Linked DNA regions of Macaca mulatta. The protein of the gene in region 1 interacts with the protein of each later gene in a biochemical or structural test. Links are inferred from orthologs where the notes say so. Each region holds a gene or a part of one and is shown in the gene's direction. Other genes may lie near its edges. The genes, in order: COL1A1, SPARC and THBS1.

The links.
Region 2: the proteins of COL1A1 (region 1) and SPARC form a complex in vitro, tested with the Homo sapiens proteins (2 studies listed by BioGRID). The link is inferred for Macaca mulatta from reciprocal best matches to the Homo sapiens genes COL1A1 and SPARC.
Region 3: the proteins of COL1A1 (region 1) and THBS1 form a complex in vitro, tested with the Homo sapiens proteins (2 studies listed by BioGRID). The link is inferred for Macaca mulatta from reciprocal best matches to the Homo sapiens genes COL1A1 and THBS1.

The regions. Positions count from the first base shown.
Region 1 is NC_133421.1:59,821,694-59,825,336, forward strand, and holds the end of COL1A1 (collagen alpha-1(I) chain), read left to right. Parts: intron 1-85; coding exon 86-193; coding exon of another isoform or gene 194-218; intron 219-504; coding exon of another isoform or gene 505-572; coding exon 573-626; intron 627-710; coding exon 711-818; coding exon of another isoform or gene 819-858; intron 859-1,056; exon of another isoform or gene 1,057-1,155; coding exon 1,156-1,209; coding exon of another isoform or gene 1,210-1,294; intron 1,295-1,542; coding exon of another isoform or gene 1,543-1,571; coding exon 1,572-1,679; intron 1,680-1,771; coding exon 1,772-2,054; intron 2,055-2,186; coding exon 2,187-2,425; intron 2,426-2,636; coding exon 2,637-2,913; intron 2,914-3,042; coding exon 3,043-3,443; 3' UTR 3,444-3,455; downstream 3,456-3,643. UniProt on the Homo sapiens protein: Type I collagen is a member of group I collagen (fibrillar forming collagen).
Region 2 is NC_133411.1:160,596,732-160,600,374, reverse strand, and holds part of SPARC (SPARC), read left to right. Parts: intron 1-46; coding exon 47-195; intron 196-2,329; coding exon 2,330-2,478; intron 2,479-2,966; coding exon 2,967-2,995; 3' UTR 2,996-3,643.
Region 3 is NC_133412.1:16,879,208-16,883,478, forward strand, and holds the start of THBS1 (thrombospondin-1), read left to right. Parts: upstream 1-1,421; 5' UTR 1,422-1,571; intron 1,572-2,167; 5' UTR 2,168-2,196; coding exon 2,197-2,263; intron 2,264-2,540; coding exon 2,541-3,100; intron 3,101-3,963; coding exon 3,964-4,039; intron 4,040-4,271. UniProt on the Homo sapiens protein: Adhesive glycoprotein that mediates cell-to-cell and cell-to-matrix interactions.

The DNA.
Region 1 (3,643 bases):
GACCACAGCCTTGTCTGCTGCTTCCCTGCCCCATCCTGGCCATTCAGCTGGAGCTGGCCCATATTCCTCTGCTCTCCCCCGCCAGGGTGACCGTGGTGAGACTGGCCCCGCTGGACCTCCTGGTGCTCCTGGTGCTCCTGGTGCCCCTGGCCCCGTTGGCCCTGCTGGCAAGAGTGGTGATCGTGGTGAGACTGTAAGTAGCTGGGCTCCAGTTCCCTGTGTCTGGTCAGGCCAGGGACTCTCCAGGCCTCCTTAGAGGCCTGGGGATGGGTGTCGGACTTCACCCAGGCAGGGGGAGGAAAGGAGATCCTGCAAGATGTCGGGGCCTTAATCCAAAAAACTGAGTTAAAGCTCAGCCTCAAGTCCCCTCTCCCAGACAGGACCCCCTCTCCCTTGAGCTGGCCCCAGCTCTCATGAAGATTGCAGTGGGGAGGTTTCCCTGGGAGTTGGGAGAGATGGCCACAGTGGGAAGGGGCTGAGGAGAGAGAGATGCAGCAGGGGGAGGCCTCATCCTGCAGCCCCAGCCTCAGCCTCCCCTGGCCAAGATCTCATGCTCTCCTTGCTCTCCTCAGGGTCCTGCCGGTCCCGCTGGTCCTGTCGGCCCTGTTGGCGCCCGTGGCCCCGCTGTAAGTTCCCTGCTGTGTCTCCCACACCTTCGGAACCCTACAGATGCGGACAGTGCCCCACTTGATGCCCCGTCTCTCTTCTAGGGACCCCAAGGCCCCCGTGGTGACAAGGGTGAGACAGGCGAACAAGGCGACAGAGGCATAAAGGGTCACCGTGGCTTCTCTGGCCTCCAGGGTCCCCCTGGCCCTCCTGTGAGTATGCTCAGCCCCTCCCCAGTCCTCATGCTGTGCTGTATGATAGAAGGGGGAGCTTTGCCTCGGTTTCCCCCTCTGGATAGTCACTCTTACCCCTCCCTAGTGAGGACTGGGGTCTGAAGATTTATGGGCATGTCCAAGAAGCTTCTGAGAGGGTGAGGGGTACACAGAGAGGGATTATGGGAGAGGTCTCTGCCTATGGACACCCTGGGGCTAGATTTCCAGAATAATGAAGGGGCATGGGCTGCCCACGCTGCCCTCGTCTCTCCAGCAAGGCCCTCAGGCTACATTTGACCCTCACTGGGCCTGAATTGCCTTTTTATCTGTCCTTCAGGGCTCTCCTGGCGAACAAGGTCCCTCTGGAGCCTCTGGTCCTGCTGGTCCCCGAGTAAGTCATGCCTTCTCTCTCCTCTTCCTGAGTCCCAAGCCCAGGCTCACCTTGGGGACCCTTGCCAGGGACCCAGGCACCCTTTGCCTCTCTGGAGAAGGGTTAAGGGACAGGGAGTGGACAAAGAGAAGAAGAATCCTGAACAAACAATCTGATTTAGCTTTGGCCTCTCTGCTCCCCAGTCCGTCCTCCCCTGGCTCAGCGGCTGGAGCGAGCTATGGCATGTCCTATGGAAAGAGGCTGAAACTGGCTCTATGAGGCCGTGGAGCCAGAGCCAGCAGGGAGGGTGGTGGGCTTCTCCTCCAGAGCTGGGGTTGTTGGGGCTTCTGGCAGCCTTTCTCAAACCATTTCCCCCACTCCAGGGTCCCCCTGGCTCTGCTGGTACTCCTGGCAAAGATGGACTCAACGGCCTCCCTGGCCCCATTGGGCCCCCTGGTCCTCGCGGTCGCACTGGTGATGCTGGTCCTGTTGTACGTAGCCCCTCATCCCCTCTGCTCATGGCCCTCCAGCCCCCAAAGCACTTGGAAGCCGGTAATCCCCACTCTCCTCCCTCTCTGTGCAGGGTCCCCCTGGCCCTCCTGGCCCTCCCGGTCCCCCTGGTCCTCCCAGCGGTGGTTTCGACTTCAGCTTCCTGCCCCAGCCACCTCAAGAGAAGGCTCACGATGGCGGCCGCTACTACCGGGCTGATGATGCCAATGTGGTTCGTGACCGTGACCTCGAGGTGGACACCACCCTCAAGAGCCTGAGCCAGCAGATCGAGAACATCCGGAGCCCCGAGGGCAGCCGCAAGAACCCCGCCCGCACCTGCCGCGACCTCAAGATGTGCCACTCTGACTGGAAGAGCGGTGAGGGCCTGCCCTAGCCTCCCCCTCCCTCCTACTTCTGCCATGCCAGGGTCCCCATGCCCATATGTGCCCCTACCATATGGTGCTGGCTGCTCCACTTCCCTGACTCCACCTTGCCCTGCCCTACCACAGGAGAGTACTGGATTGACCCCAACCAAGGCTGCAACCTGGATGCCATCAAAGTCTTCTGCAACATGGAGACTGGTGAGACCTGCGTGTACCCCACTCAGCCCAGTGTGGCCCAGAAGAACTGGTACATCAGCAAGAACCCCAAGGACAAGAGGCACGTCTGGTTCGGCGAGAGCATGACCGACGGATTCCAGGTGCGTGAGCTGGACCTCAGAGCCAGTGTTAGGAGATGGGCTAGCCCAGTGCTCAGAAGGGACATGAAGTCCTGGAGTAGGTCTCTGCTAAGGGTGATGGACAGAGCTGGGCTGGGAGGCAGGGGTCCCAGGTCCCTGATAGTGGTTCAGACACAGGCTGCCTATGGGCAGGTGGCCCCTCTTGATATAAGGGTGTATTGGGCCGCTCTCTGAGGACCCTGGACAGGGAGGCCAGGCAGGACTAGAGGTTCCTGCATAGCTGCTCACTCTTCCCTCTCTCCCCTCCCCTGCAGTTCGAGTATGGCGGCGAGGGCTCCGACCCTGCCGACGTGGCCATCCAGCTGACCTTCCTGCGCCTGATGTCCACCGAGGCCTCCCAGAACATCACCTACCACTGCAAGAACAGCGTGGCCTACATGGACCAGCAGACTGGCAACCTCAAGAAGGCACTGCTCCTCCAGGGCTCCAACGAGATCGAGATCCGCGCCGAGGGCAACAGTCGCTTCACCTACAGCGTCACTGTCGATGGCTGCACGGTGAGTGGCCAGAATCCTCAGGCAGGGCCCCACCTCTCTGGCCTTGGGCTTTTTGGGCAGGCCATAGTGTCCTCTTTCCATCACTCCCACGTGGTAATGCCCCCTCCCATTGTCTCCGCCCCACCCCAGAGTCACACCGGAGCCTGGGGCAAGACAGTGATCGAATACAAAACCACCAAGACCTCCCGCCTGCCCATCATCGATGTGGCCCCCTTGGACGTTGGTGCCCCAGACCAGGAATTCGGCTTCGACGTTGGCCCTGTCTGCTTCCTGTAAACTCCCTCCATCCCAACCTGGCTCCCTCCCACCCAACCAACTTTCCCCCCAACCCGGAAACAGACAAGCAACCCAAACTGAACCCCTCAAAAGCCAAAAAATGGGAGACAATTTCACATGGACTTTGGAAAATATTTTTTTTCCTTTGCATTCATCTCTCAAACTTAGTTTTTATCTTTGACCAACCGAACATGACCAAAAACCAAAAGTGCATTCAACCTTACCAAAAAAAAAAAAAAAGAATAAATAAATAACTTTTTAAAAAAGGAAGCTTGGTCCACTTGCTTGAAGACCCATGCGGGGGTAAGTCCCTTTCTGCCCGTTGGGCTTATGAAACCCCAACGCTGCCCTTTCTGCTCCTTTCTCCATCCCCTCTTGGGGCCTCCCCTCCACTCCTTCCCAAATCTGTCTCCCCAGAAGACACAGGAAACAATGCATTGTCTGCCCAGCAACC
Region 2 (3,643 bases), on another chromosome or scaffold:
ACAATCTCCGTGGACCTCTTGTCACACACGGTCTCTACTCCCTCAGGTGAAGAAGATCCATGAGAATGAGAAGCGCCTGGAGGCAGGAGACCACCCCGTGGAGCTGCTGGCCCGGGACTTTGAGAAGAACTACAACATGTACATCTTTCCTGTGCACTGGCAGTTCGGCCAGCTGGACCAGCACCCCATTGATGGGTAAGACCCCAGACCCTAGAGTGGACAGAGCCATGACTCCAGGCTGGCAGGTGCGCTAGCTAGGGCCAGAAAGCCTCTCAGCAGCCTATGCTGCTTCTAGCCCTGGCATCCACAGTTTGCCTGGGGATTGGAGCAGAAAGATGAGGCATCTGGAGAAAAGATGTGGACTTGGGAGAAAGAAACCAATAAGACACTCTCATGCTGAGGTGAAAGTCAGTAGGAGCTCAAAATAGCTCCATAATCCTGCAAGTACTAGGCGTGGATATCTGGATAATGAAGGAGTGTGAGTTAGGAAGGAGTACCAGGCTCCAAGGGGTGGCAGGGGACAAGGTGGTGTCAGCCATATGCTTCCTGTCCTTCAGCAGAACATCCAGAGGCAGTGCAGCCACCTGGTACTGTCTAAGCCCTCTCCTAAGGCCCAGCCCCAACAGGGCGCAACTGACCCTGGAAGTTATCCAAAAAATCCCATCTATTTTGCGAGCCCCCAGTTTGAGGACTCTTGTCCCTTGTCCAAATGAGTTATGAGGCACTTGCAACTGCACTGCAGAACAAGCAGGCAGCTGGTCAGTTAGCAAATGCTTACTGAGTGTGCATTTTGTGCCCTGCACTATTCTAGGCAGGGGATTGAACAGCAATCAGAGCTGGCATGGTCCTTGCCCTTATGGACTCATACTCTGTTCATAACCCTGTCACTACCTTCTGAACTTTTCTTGTGGTGATGAAGTGAGAGCTCCCGCTCAGCCTCAGATAGAGCAAGCCACACCTGCACCTTCCCAGAGTTGTTTTCACTTTGTCCTTGGGTTGTGGAAGCAGAGCATCACACACAGCAGAAAGGAAGGGCTCCCCTACTCACACACTCAGGGAACTGCCTCTCTAGGATTTTCACCCCTTGCTCTTTATCCAGCCCGTGTGCCTGGAGTCCGCCAACCCTGCCAGTGATCCCGAGGGCTGGGGTCTCCTGAGCTCTGGGAATCTCCCGGCCACTTCTCTCCCAGGCTCTTGCCATGGCTGGGATCCAACTGAGTCACTCATTGTGGCAGGGAGGGGAAAAGTCAAGGGGGAACATCTGGAGCTCAGGCAAAGCAACTGGATCCCACTGCAACAGAGGGCCTGGAGGGAGGCTTCCAGATGGGGTGCAAGGACTGCACATCTGGGAAAGGGCTCCAGCCTGGGCAAGGGGACCCACTTCTTCCTCCTCCCATCCCAGGGCTGTAGGTGACCTTGCCTGCATCCCTGCCCCTCCCTGGGCCTCGGTTTTCCACCAGTACAATGAAGGGGAGGAGAAGGTTCCTATCAGTTCAAACATTGTGTGATTTCTTTGGTGAGCTGGGTGGGGCTGGGAGGTCTAGAGGTTAAGAAGACAACTGGAGTCACATTGTTCCCTGGAGATCCTTGGCGGGGAGAGTGTTTTAGGGACAAGTAGCTGGGGGCTCTGGGGAACAAAGAAAAAAATTATACACATGCTCTGGAGTCTAAGGCCAGCAGGGAGAATAGGGAGGGAGGACAGTGGGAGACATCCAAGGGACCTCCCTCTCAGACATTACAGGATACACAAGTAAAGCTCTATGAAGATGGTTAGAGCTCCTATTAACCCTCACGGCCAATCCCAGTCCCTTTCCACATTCCTTCCCAGACGGCCGCACTGTCACCAGATTGGTGTGGCTTTTTAGACGCTTTACTAGGCATTTATAGTTATATAAATGTGTGTCCATAGACAATATACAGGGTTGTGTTATGCCAGATTTTGATCTACCCATAGCAGAAGTGCTGAATTTTGATTTTAAGTTTCTGTGCCCCCAGTTCTCAGCCAATTGGGAAACAATCAAACACACCAAAAAGACCTTTGTTTTTGAGCCCATGAAACCGTAGAACTGGAAGGGCTGTTAGTGATTACAGCTAACTCCTCCTCTTTGCTGGAAGGAGAAACTGAGGTTCCAAATGGGGCACTGCTGTTCTCTGAGTCTCAGAGCAGTCAGTGGCAGAGCTAGGGGTAGACCTGGGATTCTGGCTTTTTGTCCTGCTTTAAATATCCTTTCCTCCACGCTCTGGGGCAGGCTAACTCCCCGGTTGCCTCCCTAGGCTGGGTGTGGAGCTTTTCCATGCCTCAGGCCCTCTCCTGCCTTCTTCCCTGCAGGTACCTCTCCCACACCGAGCTGGCCCCACTGCGCGCTCCCCTCATCCCCATGGAGCACTGCACCACCCGCTTTTTCGAGACCTGTGACCTAGACAATGACAAGTATATCGCCCTGGATGAGTGGGCCGGCTGCTTTGGCATCAAGCAGAGTGAGTGTCTGAGCAAAGGAGCAAGGGGCATGGGCAGAAGCACTGCTCCCAGGGTTCTGGCTTGTCATCCTCACACTCTCTGCTCTCTTGGTCTGTCTGTTGTCTGTCCTCTCTGCCTGTCTCTGCTCTGTCTGCCTATTTGACTCCGGTTTGTTGGGCATCTTCCTGATCCTTCTCTGTCCGTCCGACTGTCTCTCTCTCTTTCCCTTCCTCCAGCGTTAGCACTCACCTTGTGCTAAACACTATTTTGGGAACTGGCAGGCACACAGAGAGGAAACAGGAAGTGTAACTTGGCAGCGTGTGTAAGAGACAGGGAAAGGCCAGAGACAGGGAAAGCGAGGTTCCTCCGTCACTGACTTCCTGGGTGACCTTGGACGGCCACCTAGACCCCTGTCCCTGGGGATGGGTGGGAGTCCACCAACTCCTTGGGAAGTGCGTCATCATCGACACAGCCTTATTTTTAACCCTGATCTTTTCTTGCTTTGCAGAGGATATCGACAAGGATCTTGTGATCTAAATCCACTCCTTCCGCAGTACCGGATTCTCTCTCTTTAACCCTCCCCTTCCTGTTTCCCCCAATGTTTAAAATGTTTGGATGGTTTGTTGTTCTGCCTGGGGACAAGGTGCTAACATAGATTTAAGTGAATACTTTAACGGTGCTAAAAATGAAAATTCTAACCCAAGACATGACATTCTTAGCTGTAACTTAACTATTAAGGCCTTTTCCACACTCATTAATAGTCCCATTTTTCTCTTGCCATTTGTAGCTTTGCCCATTGTCTTATTGGCACATGGGTGGATATGGATCTGCTGGACTCTGCCTTAAACACACATTGCAGCTTCAACTTTTCTCTCTAGTATTCTGTTTGAAACTAATACTCACCGAGTCAGACTTTGTGTTCATTTCATTTCAGGGTATTGGCTGCCTGTGGGCTTCCCCAGGTGGCCTGAAGGTGGGCAAAGGGAAGTAACAGACACACGATGTTGTCAAGGATGGTTTTGGGACTAGAGGCCCAGTGATGGGAGAGGTCCCTGCAGAACCCACCAACCAGAACGTGGTTTGCCTGAGGCTGTCACTGAGAGAAAGATTCTAGGGCTGTGTTATGAAAATATAGACATTCTCACATAAGCCCAGTTCGTCACCATTTCCTCCTTTACCTTTCAG
Region 3 (4,271 bases), on another chromosome or scaffold:
ACACTCCCACGCAAGAAGAGCGAAATTGCTCTTTGATGAATGTAAACCCTTGGCTGTTTGCAGCAGTCGGGAGTTCTGCCAGGTTTAACTGCTAAGATGGGAGGTGAACCCCAGGGGTTTCCCCTGGCTGTGCTGAGATCCTTATTTGGTCAAGCTTCTACCTATGCCCTGGCCTCGGAGCCAGCCCGATAGCGCTGGACCACGGCACCGGGAGCGAGGCTGCTGACGTCCCATCTCGAAGACATGAATGGAATTCCAGGCAGCTGGAGTCATGCTGGCTTGGGACAGTGGCTTGGAGACCAGACTTCAATGACAGAAGCACTAGGCAGCGGCACTCATGGCAATGCGTGCACCCACAGAAATGTAACCCACACCTCGGTTTCAGGAGCCGAAAAATGAAAAGAACGTTTAGGGAGGAAAGAGGGAAATACAATAATAGGCAGAGAGTAATTTATTACTCTATGGGTCTGTTCTGTAAATAGTTGAAGACTCTGGAGCCAGATGGTTCTGCAAATTCTCCAAACAGGAGTCACGTTAAGAGGCACGAGTGGGCACAAAAACTGTTTTTCAAGACACAATTTCAATTTGGCTTGAGGAAACTGGATACGAGTAAGGTTCCTTAAAATTAGAGTAGAAAGCAGCTGTCCTCCCCGGGCCCCTTGATGAGAATACGCACACCGCCCCCAAGCGGCCGGCCGAGGGAGCGCCGCGGCAGCGGGAGAGGCGCCTCTGTGGGCCCCCGGCAGCCGCGGCAGGAAAGCGCCCGAAGGCAGCGAAGGCCAGCGCGGCTCAACAACCCGCCGGCCCCGCCGACGCCGCGCTCACCTCCCGCGGGGGCGGGCGTGGGGCCACCTCAGGACAGGCGCTAGGGGGACGCGTGTCCTCACCCCACCGGGACGGTGGAAGAAGGTCAGCGAGGGCCCGAGGGGCAGCTATTTTAACGAATGGCTCTCTTGGGGTCTCCTGCGCCCCGTCGGCCCATTTTTCTTTTTACAAATTGGGCCCAGTCTCTAGTGTTCACCTTTCAGCCATCACCCAGGCATTCCGGGAGACCGGCTCGCCCGAAAGCCCCTGCCCCACCCCGCGGGCCCTCCTGGGTGGTCGCCCCAGCCCCGTCCCTGCTCGGGATGCTCGCTGATCACCCCGAGCCCGCGTGGCGCAAGAGCGCTAGCGCCTAGCCCGTGCGCGCCAAGGCTGCGTGGGCGGGCACCGACTTTTCTGAGAAGTTCCAGTGCTCCCAAGCCCCGACCCCCGCCCCCTTCACTTTCTAGTTGGAAAGTTGCGCGCCAGGCAGCGGGGGGCGGAGAGAGGAGCCCAGACTGGCCCCCCTCCCGCTTCCTGCCCGGCCGCCGCCCATTGGCCGGAGGAATCCCCAGGAATGCGAGCGCCCCTTTAAAAGCGCGCTGCTCCTCCGCCTTGCCAGCCACTGCGCCCGAGCTGGTCTGCGAGTTCAGGGCTCCTGCCTCTCTCCCGGTGCAACCTCCACTTCGGACGCACAGGCGGTCCCCGCGTCCCTCCAGCCCTCGCCGCCCTCTCCACCGCTCCCGGCCGCCGCGCTCCGGTCCACACAGGTAAGTCCCCCCCCGGCGGCCGCCGAGGACCAAAGCTGCCGGGGACATCCACCTGGAGCGCTGAGGCTTCAGTCCCTCTGGTGGACCCCGGAACCCACACTCTCCCCGCTCTCCTGCCCCAGCTCGCCCCTCTCGGCCGCTGGAGGACTCTTCGGGACAAGGCTCCAGAGCCATCCTCTCCAGCCTTGGGGTTCACAAACCAACTGATCAGGACACCCCAGGATTTCTTTACTCTCTGAAGTCCTCCTTAAGCCTTTGTATCAGCACTCCAGGGGAGAGTCTGTACTTCCCCGTGCCCTCCCTGCAACTCCAAACTACATTCCTGATCTTGTTCACCTTCGACTTCCAAAAGCCCCCGAATTGTTGGTCTTGCGCCCCCCACACTTTAAAACCAGCATCTCTTTCCTCCACGTCTCTCTCTCACTCTCTCTCTCTCTCTCATGCTCTCTGGAAAGTAATCCTGTTGTCCTTCATTTCAGCAAACGCGGGGTCAAAGAGGGATGGTACCGGCCCTGTCCCCATGCCCAGCCCTGTTTCTGCCCACCCTCCCTGCCTAACTGATCTCTGACCTTGGGCTCTTGTGCTTCCTGCTGTAGGATCCCTGCTGGGCACCAACAGCTCCACCATGGGGCTGGCCTGGGGACTAGGCGTCCTGTTCCTGTTGCATGTGTGCGGCACCAACCGCATTCCAGGTGAGTGTGTGGCACCTTTAGGGGAAGGAGGGACGAAGAAGAGGGGCTGGCTACCCCAAGTGTGCCCCTTCACATGCTGTCCTCTCCCAGCTCCTTTGCTCTTGAGCCTGACTGGACATCAGGACGCAGCTTCACTCTGATCCTGGTGTTTATTCAGCTCTTTCAGTGGCTGCCAGGAGTTCTCACCCCAGCCCTTTGTCTCCACCCCTGAGGACTCAGCCCCCTACCGCTGGTCCCAGCCTCCAAAGCTCACCATGTGTTCTCTCCTGCCTAACAGAGTCTGGGGGAGACAACAGCGTGTTTGACATCTTTGAACTCACCGGGGCTGCCCGCAAGGGGTCTGGGCGCCGACTGGTGAAGGGTCCTGACCCTTCTAGCCCAGCTTTCCGCATCGAGGATGCCAACCTGATCCCCCCTGTGCCTGATGACAAGTTCCAAGACCTGGTGGATGCTGTGCGGGCCGAGAAGGGTTTCCTGCTTCTGGCCTCCCTGAGGCAGATGAAGAAGACCCGGGGCACGCTGCTGGCCCTGGAGCGGAAAGACCACTCTGGCCAGGTCTTCAGCGTGGTGTCCAACGGCAAGGCGGGCACCCTGGACCTCAGCCTGACCGTCCAAGGAAAGCAGCACGTGGTGTCTGTGGAAGAAGCTCTCCTGGCAACCGGCCAGTGGAAGAGCATCACCCTGTTTGTGCAGGAAGACAGGGCCCAGCTGTACATCGACTGTGAAAAGATGGAGAATGCCGAGCTGGACGTCCCCATCCAAAGCGTCTTCACCAGAGACCTGGCCAGCATCGCCAGACTCCGCATCGCAAAGGGGGGCGTCAATGACAATTTCCAGGTGAGGCTTCTTCTGTGAGCCCTGCTCCGTGGGATCATCTGCTAGACAGGTGACCTGCCAGGAGGGCTACAGGAAATCCTGTCTGTAAACTAAAGCAGCAGTTCTCAGATTTTAGGCAGCATGAGCATCACCTGGAGGGCTTGTGAAAGCTCACGCTGCGGCACCCCAGCCCCAGAGTTTGGGATTCTGTAAAACGGCAACTCTAACAAGTACCAGGTGATGCTGATGCTGGTAGTCTGGGAAGCACACTTTGAAAACTACTCAAGGAAACAAGAAATGGTTTTCCTTTAGCAATCAGCCTGTTCAAGCCTTAGATACTCCCTAGACTCTTAAGAAAATAGCTTATTTCAAATGCATTCCCCCAATTTTAATGTTGTTTGAAATGGATACTTTCTATGGGCAGAATCAGTACCACTTTGCTATTGGATTCCTCATGGGGATGCAGCTGGTCTCACATAAAAGGTTAAAATAGCAGTTAGTTGTTGCTGTTACAGCTTCATCTGCGCCTTAACTTCTAGATCTTTGCAAGGGTGGCTTTGAACTCCCACATTTAACTCTTTGACACTGGAAAGTGTCATTATATCCTCTGGGCTTAGGATCAGATTCCATTTCCTGTGTACCCAAGTAGGCTGATAACTGAATTCTTTGTAAAATACTCAAGACTTGGCAGAAGTCACAATTAAGATTTTGAAGTTTTTGGCAATTTATGTTGCTGTGTTATTTTGACATAGTGATCTTCAGACAGCTCTTTGAAGCTTTTAGAACATCTATTGTATGCTTTTCCTAGCATAGAGACAGTCCTTCCCAACCCCATCCCCACCCCGCTCAGCTTTCTACAAGTAATGTGTATCCTCTGCCCACAGGGGGTGCTGCAGAATGTGAGGTTCGTCTTTGGAACCACACCAGAAGACATCCTCAGGAACAAAGGCTGCTCCAGCTGTGAGTACCCCTCTATTTTTAGAGCACATAGGGAAATCGGGGGGAAATTCCACCAAAAACAAGCTGAGGAATTTAGCAATAGTGGTTGTACATAAATTACCCCCAGTAAAATCATTAAGAGGCATACAAAAGTGATCTCAAGGGGTATCATACACACACACATGTATACACACACGTGCGCATACACGCCACCCCTCTACGTGCATCCTTCACACCAAATGAAATGTCTTCT